Linked DNA regions of Schizosaccharomyces pombe. Changing the gene in region 1 together with any one later gene gives a genetic interaction. Each region holds a gene or a part of one and is shown in the gene's direction. Other genes may lie near its edges.

Region 1 (3,937 bases):
GCTAAAGCACAATACCGAATTGCACACTTCTTCTACAACCACAGTAAAATCTGCGATAAAGTTGGTGGGGTTCCCGATGCCTTATATAATCGAGGCAAAAAGCGGCATACGCATATCGGAGTGCGGGCGACGTCACCTTGATTGACTCAATGTGCTAATAATACGCTCGTTAGGCAAAGCAGTCATAGAGGAGGCAAAGCGACTGTTTGACAACAACACAAGCTATCAGATTATGGTTGGAAAGAAATGAGCAGGGCAAAAGAGAAGAGCAAAACAGTAAATAAACAAAAGAGATGAATTGAATGGAAATGCAAAAGAGAAAAGATTTGAGTAGGAATGCGAATGCGGATGCGAATGAAAAAAATGAATGAAATAGCTGCTGATAAATGGAATGCATCCTATGCAAGAACAAAGAGTTTGGAAATTGAGTGCAATGACTTGATTTCCAGAGTGAAGTATTCAATTGACCGTTGAAAAGTGGGTCGAGTGGGTTTCAAAGATCAATTGCTCAATCTTTGGTGGCTGCAACTATTCATTTCTTTTTCATCCGACAGTATGCGTATGTTTTGTTTTATCTTGAGATTTTGAGTGGGTCGCATTCGCTTTTCATTTCGCTTTCGCTTCTACCCGCCTAGTGGCATTCGCCATCCTTTTCGCTTCGCAGCTTAATTTATCAGTATGGGCATGCATGGAACGCAATCCACGTTGTGCATTGCGTTTACGTAGATTAGCAGCATAGAACTAACTGCGAATTTGTCATTGCCAACAAGTGTCATTCAGACAATGTATGAATGGATTAGTGTAGTACATGCAACTTGTATTTGCTATTGTAGATGGAAAAGTAGAATAGTAGCTAAGGGTGAGATTTGTAAAGAAATGAAACTGTGAAAGCAAATTAATTTATGTGGCTAAAATTGATCAAGTACTTTTCTTTACACTGTACTAGATCAGCAGGCTATGATTACTACTAGTGGATGCTTGCAATCATTGTTTGTACAATCATTCACAATCACAAATTACACCTATTTTCACATTATTTTCCACCAAAGATCCTATCGCTTGCTGCTCATGTAAAAAATTCTAGAATTCCTTCTACCTTACACTTTGTACTGCCTTCATTATCAAAACTGCATTATCGGTCAGTGTCATCTTTGCCCTACTCTTGTCTTATCGTCTTATTCGCTTTGCCCAAAACATGGTGGACGAAAAACGCTTTTCTATGCATGTCTAGGCTTTTGCCTTAATTAGTTAACTTCTGTCGCAATCCCGATTGTTGCTTGCATCCGGCGACTGCCACACCATTTCACTGTCTTTCATCGTTTCTTCTTATTCCTTTGTTTACGCTTGAATGACGGTGTGGCAGGTATTTTGCCTTTATTACTTAACTCACTAGTCAGTATACTTTATTAAATTATGTCTTATTAAAGACTGTGCTATACGAGACAGACATTACCATACTAGACAACTATACTATACTAACTAAACTAAACTAAACTATACTATACTATACTAGCTTCTAATTGCCATGCGGAAATTGCGTTGTGCATTCGACTTTGTTATTTGCCTGCCTACTTGCTATCTAATCTGTAAAGTGGATGTGATAAGTGGATATAGTGTGTGTGAACAAGTCGCTAATTTGATTTCGCGACCGTTAAGCTAAATGTCCGTTGAAAAAGCAATTTTCAGGCTCGCAGGTTCGCCATTTTCAACTTGGCTTTAACACCGCAGTGCCTTTGTTTGTAGATGGAACCAGTTATACCAGAGGGCGCTCTTTCGCAATCGGTATGTAAAGTGTGGTTGAAGTGGATATTTTTCATTTAGTTTGATTTTTATCCGACAAAAAATGCAGCGTTGATTATTTTTTTAGGGAAAGGGGTTTAGTTTTATTCATTCTTTCTTTTCTTCAGGTTTTTGTTTCTTTCATTCTTTATTTTTTCTTTTTTTTTGTTTGTTTGTTTCTTTTTTTTTTATTATATTTTTCCTTCTTCTTCTTCTCCATAATCCTTTCTTTTGTTTCCTGTTTAATGCCCTAATGCACGAAAAAGGTGATAAAAACTTATTGGCAATACTAGTTTTTTCTTTCGTATCTTTTTACTTTTTCTTGTTTTGCTCCCTCCAAAATGATGAAAACACTGCATTTATGAATCTCCTTCATCTTCCCCTTCCTCTACTAACTTGTTTAGACTAAAGATTTCTTGGCAGGTGTGTCTGGCGGCGTCGCCCAGGTCCTTGTTGGACAGCCATTTGATTGTGTCAAGGTTCGTTTGCAATCACAGAGTAATGTTTCCCCCATCTACAACAATGCTCTCGATTGTGTAAAAAAAATTTCCAAAAACGAGGGTTTAGCCGCCTTTTACAAAGGGACCGTTTTACCACTTTTGGGAATTGGATTTTGCGTTTCCATTCAGTTTACCACCTTTGAATATTGTAAACGTTTCTTTTCTCGAGACGGTACTCCCGTGACCATGCCTCAGTATTATGTTTCCGGTGCTATTTCCGGCTTGGCGAATTCTTTTTTGGTGGGTCCCGTAGAGCATGTCCGTATTCGCCTTCAAATCCAGACGGGCAAAAATGTTTTGTACCATGGTCCTTGGGATTGTATCAAAAAGATTTCTTCGCAATATGGTCTTAGTGGCATCATGAAGGGTTACAACCCTACTGCCGCTCGTGAGGCTCATGGCCTTGGAATGTATTTTTTGGCTTATGAAGCTCTGGTGAAAAACACAATGGCCAAGCATCATTTGACCGATCGATCACAAACCCCAGGTTGGAAACTTTGCGTGTTTGGCGCCGGTGCTGGTTATGCAATGTGGCTAGCTGCATATCCCTTTGATATCGTCAAATCCAAAATTCAAACGGATGGCTTTTTAAGTAAAGCCACGTACAAAAATTCTTGGCAATGCGCCAAAGGTATTTACACCAAAGCTGGCCTCCGAGGCTTTTATAGAGGCTTTGTACCCGTATTAGTTCGTGCTGCTCCCGCCAATGCTGTTACATTTTATGTATACGAGACTGTTTCTCAACACATCAGGCATCTTTAATTACTGTAGCTTTTCCTGTTTTTCTCTCCTCTTTTTTGAGATTTTAGCGTAGGTCTTTAACATTGGATAATCAAAGTTCTTTATTGCTCCCTTTGTAGAGCTTCTTTGTTTGTTAATTGCTGGTTTTATTCCTGATTTTTTCCTTCTTTTTACCAAGAAGTGCTACTAATATGTTTTAATTTTTCCCTACTGGGTCACTGTTAGTTAACTTGCTTTTTGTTTTGTGGCTATTTCATTAGATTAGTTGATTTTAAGAGATTTAGATTTTAAATATACCCCCCCCTCAATGCGATTCCTCCTTTTTCCCTACTGATTACTCATGTACTACTTTACTCTGCGAATAATACGATATAATAAGTAAAAAAAAAAAGGTCATTCAATGTTCCATTAACATAATAAAACTCATAAAATAGTCAAGCAGGTGAAATCTTCACTGGGTGACGAATCCGTAACAATAACAATGAAGATGAGAATAGTGAAAGTATTAATAAAAGAAGTATTAAGAGGATGGTGTTGGCATAGTGGGAGCTGGAAGGGCACGTTCGGGAGGTGGTAAAGAGCTAGGCTTTTGCTGAGTAGGGATTTGTTTGCTTTGTTCTCGAAGGATAAGGAAACGAGAAATCCTATCGTCTTTGCTTAAATCGGCCATGCCTGTACTATAATAATCAAAATTGTCTTCCGCACGACCGATTGCGGCTGATCGAGCCTCACGATAAAATTTGCCATTCCGATAATTAGAGTAGATGTTGATGATGACAAGGATAGACAATATGCCTGCAAAAACAAGCATGCCTTCATCGTCAAATTTTCTGTTTTTATTAGAAGCATTTTGGTCATTCATATAATCATAGGAATTGTAGTAGTATTCTTCCCAAGACCCCATACCAGCAGAACGA
Region 2 (3,558 bases), on another chromosome or scaffold:
TCAAAATATGTGTGCTATTAGCTATATTTTAAAAGACGTGTATTTTACCACAAATTTATTCTTCACATGTAATTTTCATACATTCACTTTTATTCTTATATAAACTAATGTCCCGTGGAATTTTCACTAAGCTACTACTATATTTATTCATAGAACGAGAAACCACCCTTTGTGGACATTTAGACTATTATTCTAACTTGATTCACGTGCCGTGTTGGTAAAAGCATAAGTTCAATTAAAAGAGCTTTTATCTCTAAAATAGAAGCAACAAATGCGATGCGAGTAGGAATGAAGTCAATTCTTAAAGGTAAAGCTTCTACCAAGATAAACTTACATATGAGTTAATAAATATTATGGTTAGGATACTCAAATTATAAGATAGCTTTTTGAGATTGTTTTTTGTTTGTAATATATTATTTTTTTTTTTTTTTCCTGTTTCGTTAGATCGTTATTTATTTTATTTTATTGTACTGTGTTTATTTTATTTTATTGAATAGTTCTTATGTGTGTGTTGTCTTTTTTAAATTTAATATTAAATGACATCTTTTTATTTTTTTATTTTTATTTTTCTTTAGCTTCACTTAAACCAATTATTCCTTTTAACTCATCGTCCATATTAACTATAATGTCTCCATACTATTTATGCTTCCTTAATTTCAAATTTCTCATTAACATTAATTTTACATCTACATCTACATTTATATATTTTTTTTTTGCAAACCTACGTAGAGTAACTTTCTCTTTTCCTTCGTTAAAACGATATCAATTTTAATACGAATTTACTCATTGTATTTCCATCTTTTCTCGTCTCCTCGCTCTAATCCTTTGTCGCTTTGATTTATTTGATTGCACTTACTCCATTGAAAACTCTTGATTCCCCGAACCCCCACATCCATCCAGTCCTTGAGAGATGCAAGACAAGAGAGGTTCATGGACCCAAGTGGGGTCGATTTTTTTTGGAGTGAGTTCCTTTTGATATCAATTGACCATGCTAAAAGCTTGACAAAAACAAGTATTTATCCAAGTGAGAACTAATTCACTAAGTAGATAATTTTTTGTTAAAGTTAGTTTTATGAAACGTACGTTTACTATTTACTCAAAAAAATTGAACCGAGATATCGGAGTCAATGCTATTCGCGATTCAAAAGAAAGATCAAGTGTTAACAGGAGCTTGAGTCGAATTTTCATACACTCATATACCCAAAGAAACACATTAATAAACAAACACCTAACTTGGCGTTTGTTTTCAAATACTAAACGAGCGCTGACGTCAATGGCTGATCGATCTATAGACTAGCGAAAATAGCAATAATTTGTACAATTGGAAGATCATAAGTATACATGGGTTTGAGCTTTTAGCGTGCACATTTTCGTATCAATTTCTTTTCTGAATGTAACTAAAAGACACTACAGATATTGTAGTAAATTCATCTTCCAATTCACTGCTTTGCTGTTAGGATATCGGGTACACAATCGCAAAATAGATTGCGGCAGCTTTCGGCCCCGCTCATATGTTTTCTATTCCGATGGAAGAAAAAGAGTTCAAATCGCACTCGCTTCCACACTACAACTACGCAATAACTCATCATTTCCCCACAAAAGTGACGTATTGTCCGTCGGCTATGTCCTAATGCAAAGCTTTATTTATTTGCGAGTTTTCCTCACCTTTTCGTCAATCTAATTTCAATCAATCATTTTTTTTACTTGCTTCATTTTCAAAGCATTCGTTATTCTAATCTTTTCTTCATTCTTACTATAACGAGATCATAAATTCTTTCTTGTTATACATACCGTTTCTACTTCGCTGCTAATTCTTTTTTTCTTTTGACATTTGTGCCTGTCTATTAATAATTCTTAACAGACATACTCTACTTCTCACTACTTCTTTTTTTCTAAGTTACAGTTTCTCATTAATTACTTTATCGAAAGATGTCTGTTTATCAAACTTACAAGGGCTTGCCAGCTGGTTGGGTCGCCCAATGGGATCCAACTTATCAAGCTTACTTTTACATTAATGAAACGTTTGAAGGTGCTCAACCACAGTGGGAGCCTCCTATTCCAGGCTTGCATATTCCTCCTCCTCCCGGTACCACTACCGTCGTCTATCAAAAGGACGTGCCTCGCTCTTCTGACGGCTCACGGTCTATGACGGCTGGATTAGGAGGTTTCATGGTTGGAGCTTTAGCCGGCAGTGTTCTTCGTGGTCACCGTGCTTACTACGCCCCTCCTCCTCCCAGAGGCCCTTTGTTTGGTCCAAGAATCGGTGGTGGCCATCATGGCCCACTTCATGGTCCTCACGGTGGTTTCGGCGGCCGCGGTGGTGGACGCATGGGTGGACGTGGTGGACGTGGCCGCAGATGAAAAGCGTTGATTTTTATTTAAATTTGGTTCCGATTTCGTCCTACATACTATGGTCGTTGATTATGGAATCGCTCTTTTTTTTTGAGAACATCACTTTCTCCTTTGAATAGAATCACCAAATTCACGTATACGACTCTTTCGAAATTGTTAAATGGAAAACACGATATCCAGTGAAGTTCTTTTTATTCCCTTGAAATTTCATACTATTTTTGCTAATCGTTCTAAAATTGTTATATTCTGTTAGTCGTTCTTTGACCTAATTTCTTGTTTACTTATATTAATTTTGTTATCATCTGATCTTTACTTGTTTCAAGCTTCCTTATTTATTGTACCATTGCATTCTTTATTGGGATTTCGAGGAAAACGGTCTAATTTATAAAATTTCTGTTTAATACCAAAGAAGTAAGGAGCATATATTATAATGGGTGTGAATATCGACGGAGTTGGTTGTCGATGGAATCATTTTTTTGGCATTTATCACTTCGACGTGTATTTACTTATTTATTTATATTTTTTTTTGGTTAATTGTAAAAAATTGGGTGAAGCACAATTTTTGAAACTTTTAAAAAATCAATGGTTGTTTTTTCAGACGTTAAATTAGTTTATTATGCATGATTTAAAATAGTCAATTATATATCTTTCATTTATTATTATCATTGTTTTTTCATTACTAGTTGTCCTTTTTTTTTGGGTATTTTAGTTGAATAGTTTATAGTGGTGTATTACTGACTATATAATTGGCAAACTCAGATATTTGTTTGGTTTTGGATTAAATGCACAATTCCGAAAAAATTAAGGCAGAAAGAAAAAAAATTTTTTTTACACTTATGGGATGTCATACCACTATTTTAAAAGACAAACAGATATCATTTGAATCGTTTAAAACCTGTATTTATCAAGCTGTTTAAAATAAGAGAAATATAACTTGGCTCTTGGATACACATAATGAAATAAGAAAAGTTAATATATTTCAAAATTAAGAAATATTATCTACGGTACAACATTTATTTGTTCATATTACGATTATTCAGTAAGGATACGTAAATTTGTACCTGGCAATTATCAAATGAATGTCGAGGGTTTTCATAGCAATGCAAAACCGTTTGTTTTTAAGCAAAGCCGGCGATTAAAAAGGGTAATAAGAGCAATTTTCCTTTTTCAATTAGCTATGTTTCAAGTCAAGCAGCATTAGTGAAA
Region 3 (4,852 bases), on another chromosome or scaffold:
TTTTTTTTTTTCTTCAAACTTCATACAAACGTAAATATCTCTCAAATTTTGCAATACCGTCCTCTTCTTCCTCGTCGATTTAGATCCGAAATTCTCCTTGGCAGCAGGGGACGGAAAATGAAATAAAGTGTTTTAGCAATTGGGATCGCGAAACCACCTGCTAGAAAGTGTTTAGGAAGAGAGTCGCCGTTCGAAACATAGCGATAACGAGTTCAAGAGCAGTATCCGTAAATTCAGAGGATTAGTGAGTGCCAACACTTCTTATAGATTACGGATAGTAAGCAGTAGTAGATGAAGGATGATGGATAGGTGGATGATCGGGGTGGGAGAAAGTAGGGAGACAGAAGGAAAATGGAATGTAGCTAACTGATAATGAAGAGAGAGAGAGAAAGATTATTTCGTAGATAAAATTTGGTGAGCTTTGACAAGATAAGTTTTGTTGGAAAAATTATGAAAGTATGCAAGAGTGTGAAGAGTAAACAAAAAAGAAAAAGAGACGTTATAAGAGGAAGGATGAGTTTGATGATCTTTTAATATCTAACGAACATAAAAAACTAATGAATGTAATAATTAATAAATGAAGCAAACTAGCGAATGCAACACCACCTATTGATTGCTTTATTTATTTATTTTTTTGCTTGACAAATACCCTTTGGATTTACTCACTATCCATCTTATCCACCGTAGGGGCCATAGTAGACTCGCCTTTCGGCAGCCTTAAAAACGCTACCCTATGTTTCGGGTTTAGGGTGTGAATACGCTATCCATCTAAGGGTCCGTTCGTTTATCACACCCAAATCTTGATGTCGAGGATCTCAGTCTTCAACGTCACCATCTGAAAATTTACTCTTGTTGGGTTGTTTCGCCCGACAAGACTAGACCTAGCAATGACAAGCAAAGTAGAGAAAGTAAAGTAAAGAAAACAATAGAAAAGAAATCAACAAAAAAGCAAGAGTAGAAAAGAGTATTAGCCGTTTCTAAGATTTTGAGCAGCGACTCTCTACAATGTTTACACTGTTTACATTGTAGGAATAGTCGCTTGCAATGAATAGCTGCATCGCTACTAGAACTATTGCATGTGAAACAGTAAATACCAGACTAGAAAGATGAGAAGACCACTAGAGAAGAAGGACTAGAGGAGAAAAGGGACTAGAGGAAAAAAGGAACTAGAGAAAAAGGACCAGAGAAAAAATGATTAGATGAGTAAGTGAGTTAGAAAAAAAACAATTAACCACAAAAAAAAATAAATAAAAAATAAAAATAAAACAATCAAGAGCATGCCTTATTTGTCAGCAACCTTCCTTTATTAGACAGCGTCAACACATCTCAATACAAAATCTTCATCTCACTTCCTCCTATACTTCAACACAGCATCTTCCACCTTGTCTTTTTGCTTGCCCCGCTGCCGCCCTTCAAGCTCGTCGGTACTTGTTCTCATATTCGGTTTTACCTCGGATGCTGTTACCTCGATACCAGGTTGGGTCACCTAATTTTCTTGCAAAAGTCCGTTATCCCAAGTTGTCCCAAGTTGTTCGGTCTTGCTAATTAAGGGGATCATCACCCTATCTTGACCCGTTTAACGCAAGATAACACAGAATCTTTAAGACTAAAAATTGATGCCAACTTGATATAAAACGTGCTTCGTTCGCTCTTTTTTCTCTTCCAGCTCGCCTCTTCAAGCACTTGATCCAATTACGACACGAGAAGAAGGATAGGAACCAGCGTAACTGGGAACAACTAGCAACTATTACGAGCAATATCTTTTAAAGTCCTTAGACACTCTTGTTTACTCACTGCTATCCCATACTCATACTGCTGCTTGCCCAGTACTATTTGTTACTGAAGAGTGTTGTTGATATTGCCATTCCTACCGCTACTACAACCACCACAGTACCACCACCGCTTTTTTTACGCATCCTTTCCCCATCTCAAACGTACGGGATAATTCTCTCAAAGCGTGGAATCAAACCCTTTGTTTTAATTGTTTTTTACTCGTTCACCTGCTATTTGGTGGGCTGTCTGACTTTTGTTTTCTCATTGGCTAGTTGGATTGTTGGACAAGGTTGTCTTATCATTGCATCGATATACCTCATTTCCACCCGTTGATTGATCAACCCTTGTAAACTTAGCCTTTGTTTGCTATAGAAACGGCTTAGTCACTTGTCGTTCTTATTTTGGAAATCGTTCTGTCTTTTCCCTATATCGCCTACTTCACGTTACTGTTAGTTTTGATTGAGCGAAGCAGTTTTAACGATACGAATCAAATTGAATTGAATTTTTTTATTCACAATCCCAATCATCGTCTTATTTTTTTTTAAACCACCATCAATCTTCCTTCTTACAATCCAAGTGGTTTTGCTTTAACTTGGACTTTGTGGTTATTATTGGTTTTTTGTATTTATAATAATTTTAGGATTTCGGGTTTACCTTTTTTTGTTGATATAATATATATCTTTTTACTTAGAAAAAGAAAAGAAAGGAATATATACATTTCCAAAGTGTGAATTACTTGGTTTCCCTCTCTTTACTTGTTTTTGTTGCTACTACTACTACTACTACTTTTGTTGTTCAATTGGTCTTGTCGTCGTTTCTCGGTCTTTCATTTTTACTCAGCATCTTTTTAATTGTCTTTTTTTGGTGACATTTCCTCTCACCTGTACTATCTGCCCCGTTAGCCTATACTATTCGTGTTTAACGTTTTAAATTTTTTCCTTCATTGCATTTGTTGAAGTGCAGTTTATTTGAAGAAAAATTATTTTTGGCTTTGCTTTTTTTTCGCAATCGTCTCTTTCTTTTCAGCTTTAACGTTGTATAAATTAGATTAAACCTTTAAAAAGAGAGAAAAATAGATACCTAAAGACCTTTTGCTTGGCTTGTTTTATTATTTTCACAAAAAAGTTTTTAATATTTTTTTTATCTTTTCTGGTTTTTTTATTCTTATTTTTTATCTTTTCTAATCTTTTTTTTAAACTCTTTGACTTTAACATGGCTCTTAATAGTCAACCCCCTTTGTCCCCCAAACCCGTTCCCTCCAATACCTGGAAGCGGATCGGCATCGATGCATTTGCCGCTACAGCCGCCAGTGCCATGATTTCTCCCTTTATCTTGACGATCGACCGCTCAATCGTCGAAAATACTAGTGGCCGTTCTACTTTATTACGCTCTGTTAGTCGCTCCATCAAATATGTTTTATCAAAGCCAGGCGCCTTCTTTTTTAGCGCTCCCTTTGCCCTGGTCTTTACATTATACTCGGGCACATATATGACGGCCAATTCCATAGACACACTGGATAACATTCGTCACAAGAATCCCGTCTTCAAGGCGGAAACTTCCGGCTGGTTTAAATTCTGTTCTGTCACCGCTGCAAACAGCGGTTTATCCATCTTGAAGGATAGTTTCTTTACCAAATTTTGGGGCACCGGTTCTCCTCGTCCTCTCCCTTGGTCTTGTTACGGTCTTTATGGACTTCGTGATGCACTCACCATCGCCTTTTCCTTCAACATACCTCCTATGATTGCTCCATTACTCCCCGGTGGTTTAATCACCGCTCAATTGCTCACCCCCTGTGCCGTACAGTTTATTAGCACACCTCTTCATCTCCTGTCCCTTGACATTTATAACAGAGGTGGACCTAACATATCAGCAGCCAACCGCGTTATGCAAGTTCGTAAGCATTTACTAAAAAGCACATTCGCCCGTATGGTTAGGATTCTTCCGGCTTTTGGTATTGGCGGTGTTACTAATCGTAAATTACGAACCACTTATTTGGATTCGCTTCAACAACGTACTATGAAAAAACAACAATTTGCTCTTGCTTAGTCCATACATGACGTTCTTTCCTTTTTCTTTCGGCTATTATTATTATTATTATTTTATTATTATTATTTTTCATCATTTTTTTATTATTCACTACTGAATAGTGTCTAAAAAGTGTGTGGACTACGGTTTAAACCTATATAAGGAAAGTGGCATACATCCTGTTATCTGGAACATGAAGCTGCATACTTTTTTGAATGAACTATATAGTGTATGTGTAATGAAGGTTTCACTTAAAAAAGTTTTCTACTTGATTTTTATGCGTCTGAGTTTTTTCTTTGTCTGGAGAAGAATTTGAAGAAAAAAGAAAAACTGCAAGAGAAAATAAAGAGGCAAAGAGACACATGGTTTTCTTTTGTACATTAATAAATAAAATTTGAATTCTATTTTAAGTCATTTTCGTTTGTGTTTAGTATGGTTGAGTATCAAATTTGTGTATGTCAAAAAACGAGCAACCGTAAAGACCGCTTGTTTAGCAAATTTATTCTTTTATCGTTCGTTTACAAACAGCTTTTGCCGATAGTGTTTTACGGTCTTTGAATGGGCTTTCGGTAGAAACCTAAAACCGATAAACAGAGTGAGATTATTTCTTTTTGCATTCCAATGTTGACCAGAAAGACGATAGCTTATTCCTATCTACTAGCTTACTGAATGGTTCAAAATGTACCGTACTACGGTAGCCATATTAATTGGTTCGTCAAAATAAATCCTAAAGTGTATAGCAACGGTTTTTTCAAAGCTCACCTACTTTTTACTGATCGTCATTATAATTAGTAAAACAATAAACACCTACTAGTAGAATCGCCGATTTACCATAATTTCGTATTGCGCTTAATTCTCTTCCCGAGGTATTTTGTTATTGCGATGGCTTGCCACAATAAATTAACTATTGTACGATTGCCGTCACACTATTTCTATCTAAAAATACTCTCATTCCCATTCCCATTTTTATCTCTCCATCCATACTTACTACATATGTTGGATATCTATATCTGTCAAACTTTAACTTCGTTGAACATGCTAATTAACCAAAATT

The links.
Region 2: mutations in ymc1 (region 1) and wwm3 together harm fitness more than expected from each alone (negative genetic interaction), as found in Schizosaccharomyces pombe (one large-scale study listed by BioGRID).
Region 3: mutations in ymc1 (region 1) and SPOM_SPBC365.16 together harm fitness more than expected from each alone (negative genetic interaction), as found in Schizosaccharomyces pombe (one large-scale study listed by BioGRID).

The regions. Positions count from the first base shown.
Region 1 is NC_003424.3:2,287,793-2,291,729, reverse strand, and holds ymc1 (transporter Ymc1), read left to right. Parts: upstream 1-1,712; 5' UTR 1,713-1,743; coding exon 1,744-1,782; exon of another isoform or gene 1,783-2,183; coding exon 2,184-3,041; 3' UTR 3,042-3,374; downstream 3,375-3,937. Other genes in the region: SPOM_SPAC4G9.19 (DNAJB family protein), read right to left, coding at 3,541-3,937. UniProt on the Schizosaccharomyces pombe protein: Acts as a glutamate and glycine mitochondrial transmembrane transporter.
Region 2 is NC_003423.3:200,607-204,164, forward strand, and holds wwm3 (protein wwm3), read left to right. Parts: upstream 1-1,674; 5' UTR 1,675-1,929; coding exon 1,930-2,361; 3' UTR 2,362-3,017; downstream 3,018-3,558.
Region 3 is NC_003423.3:2,528,003-2,532,854, forward strand, and holds SPOM_SPBC365.16 (uncharacterized protein), read left to right. Parts: upstream 1-1,664; 5' UTR 1,665-2,985; coding exon 2,986-3,819; 3' UTR 3,820-4,212; downstream 4,213-4,852.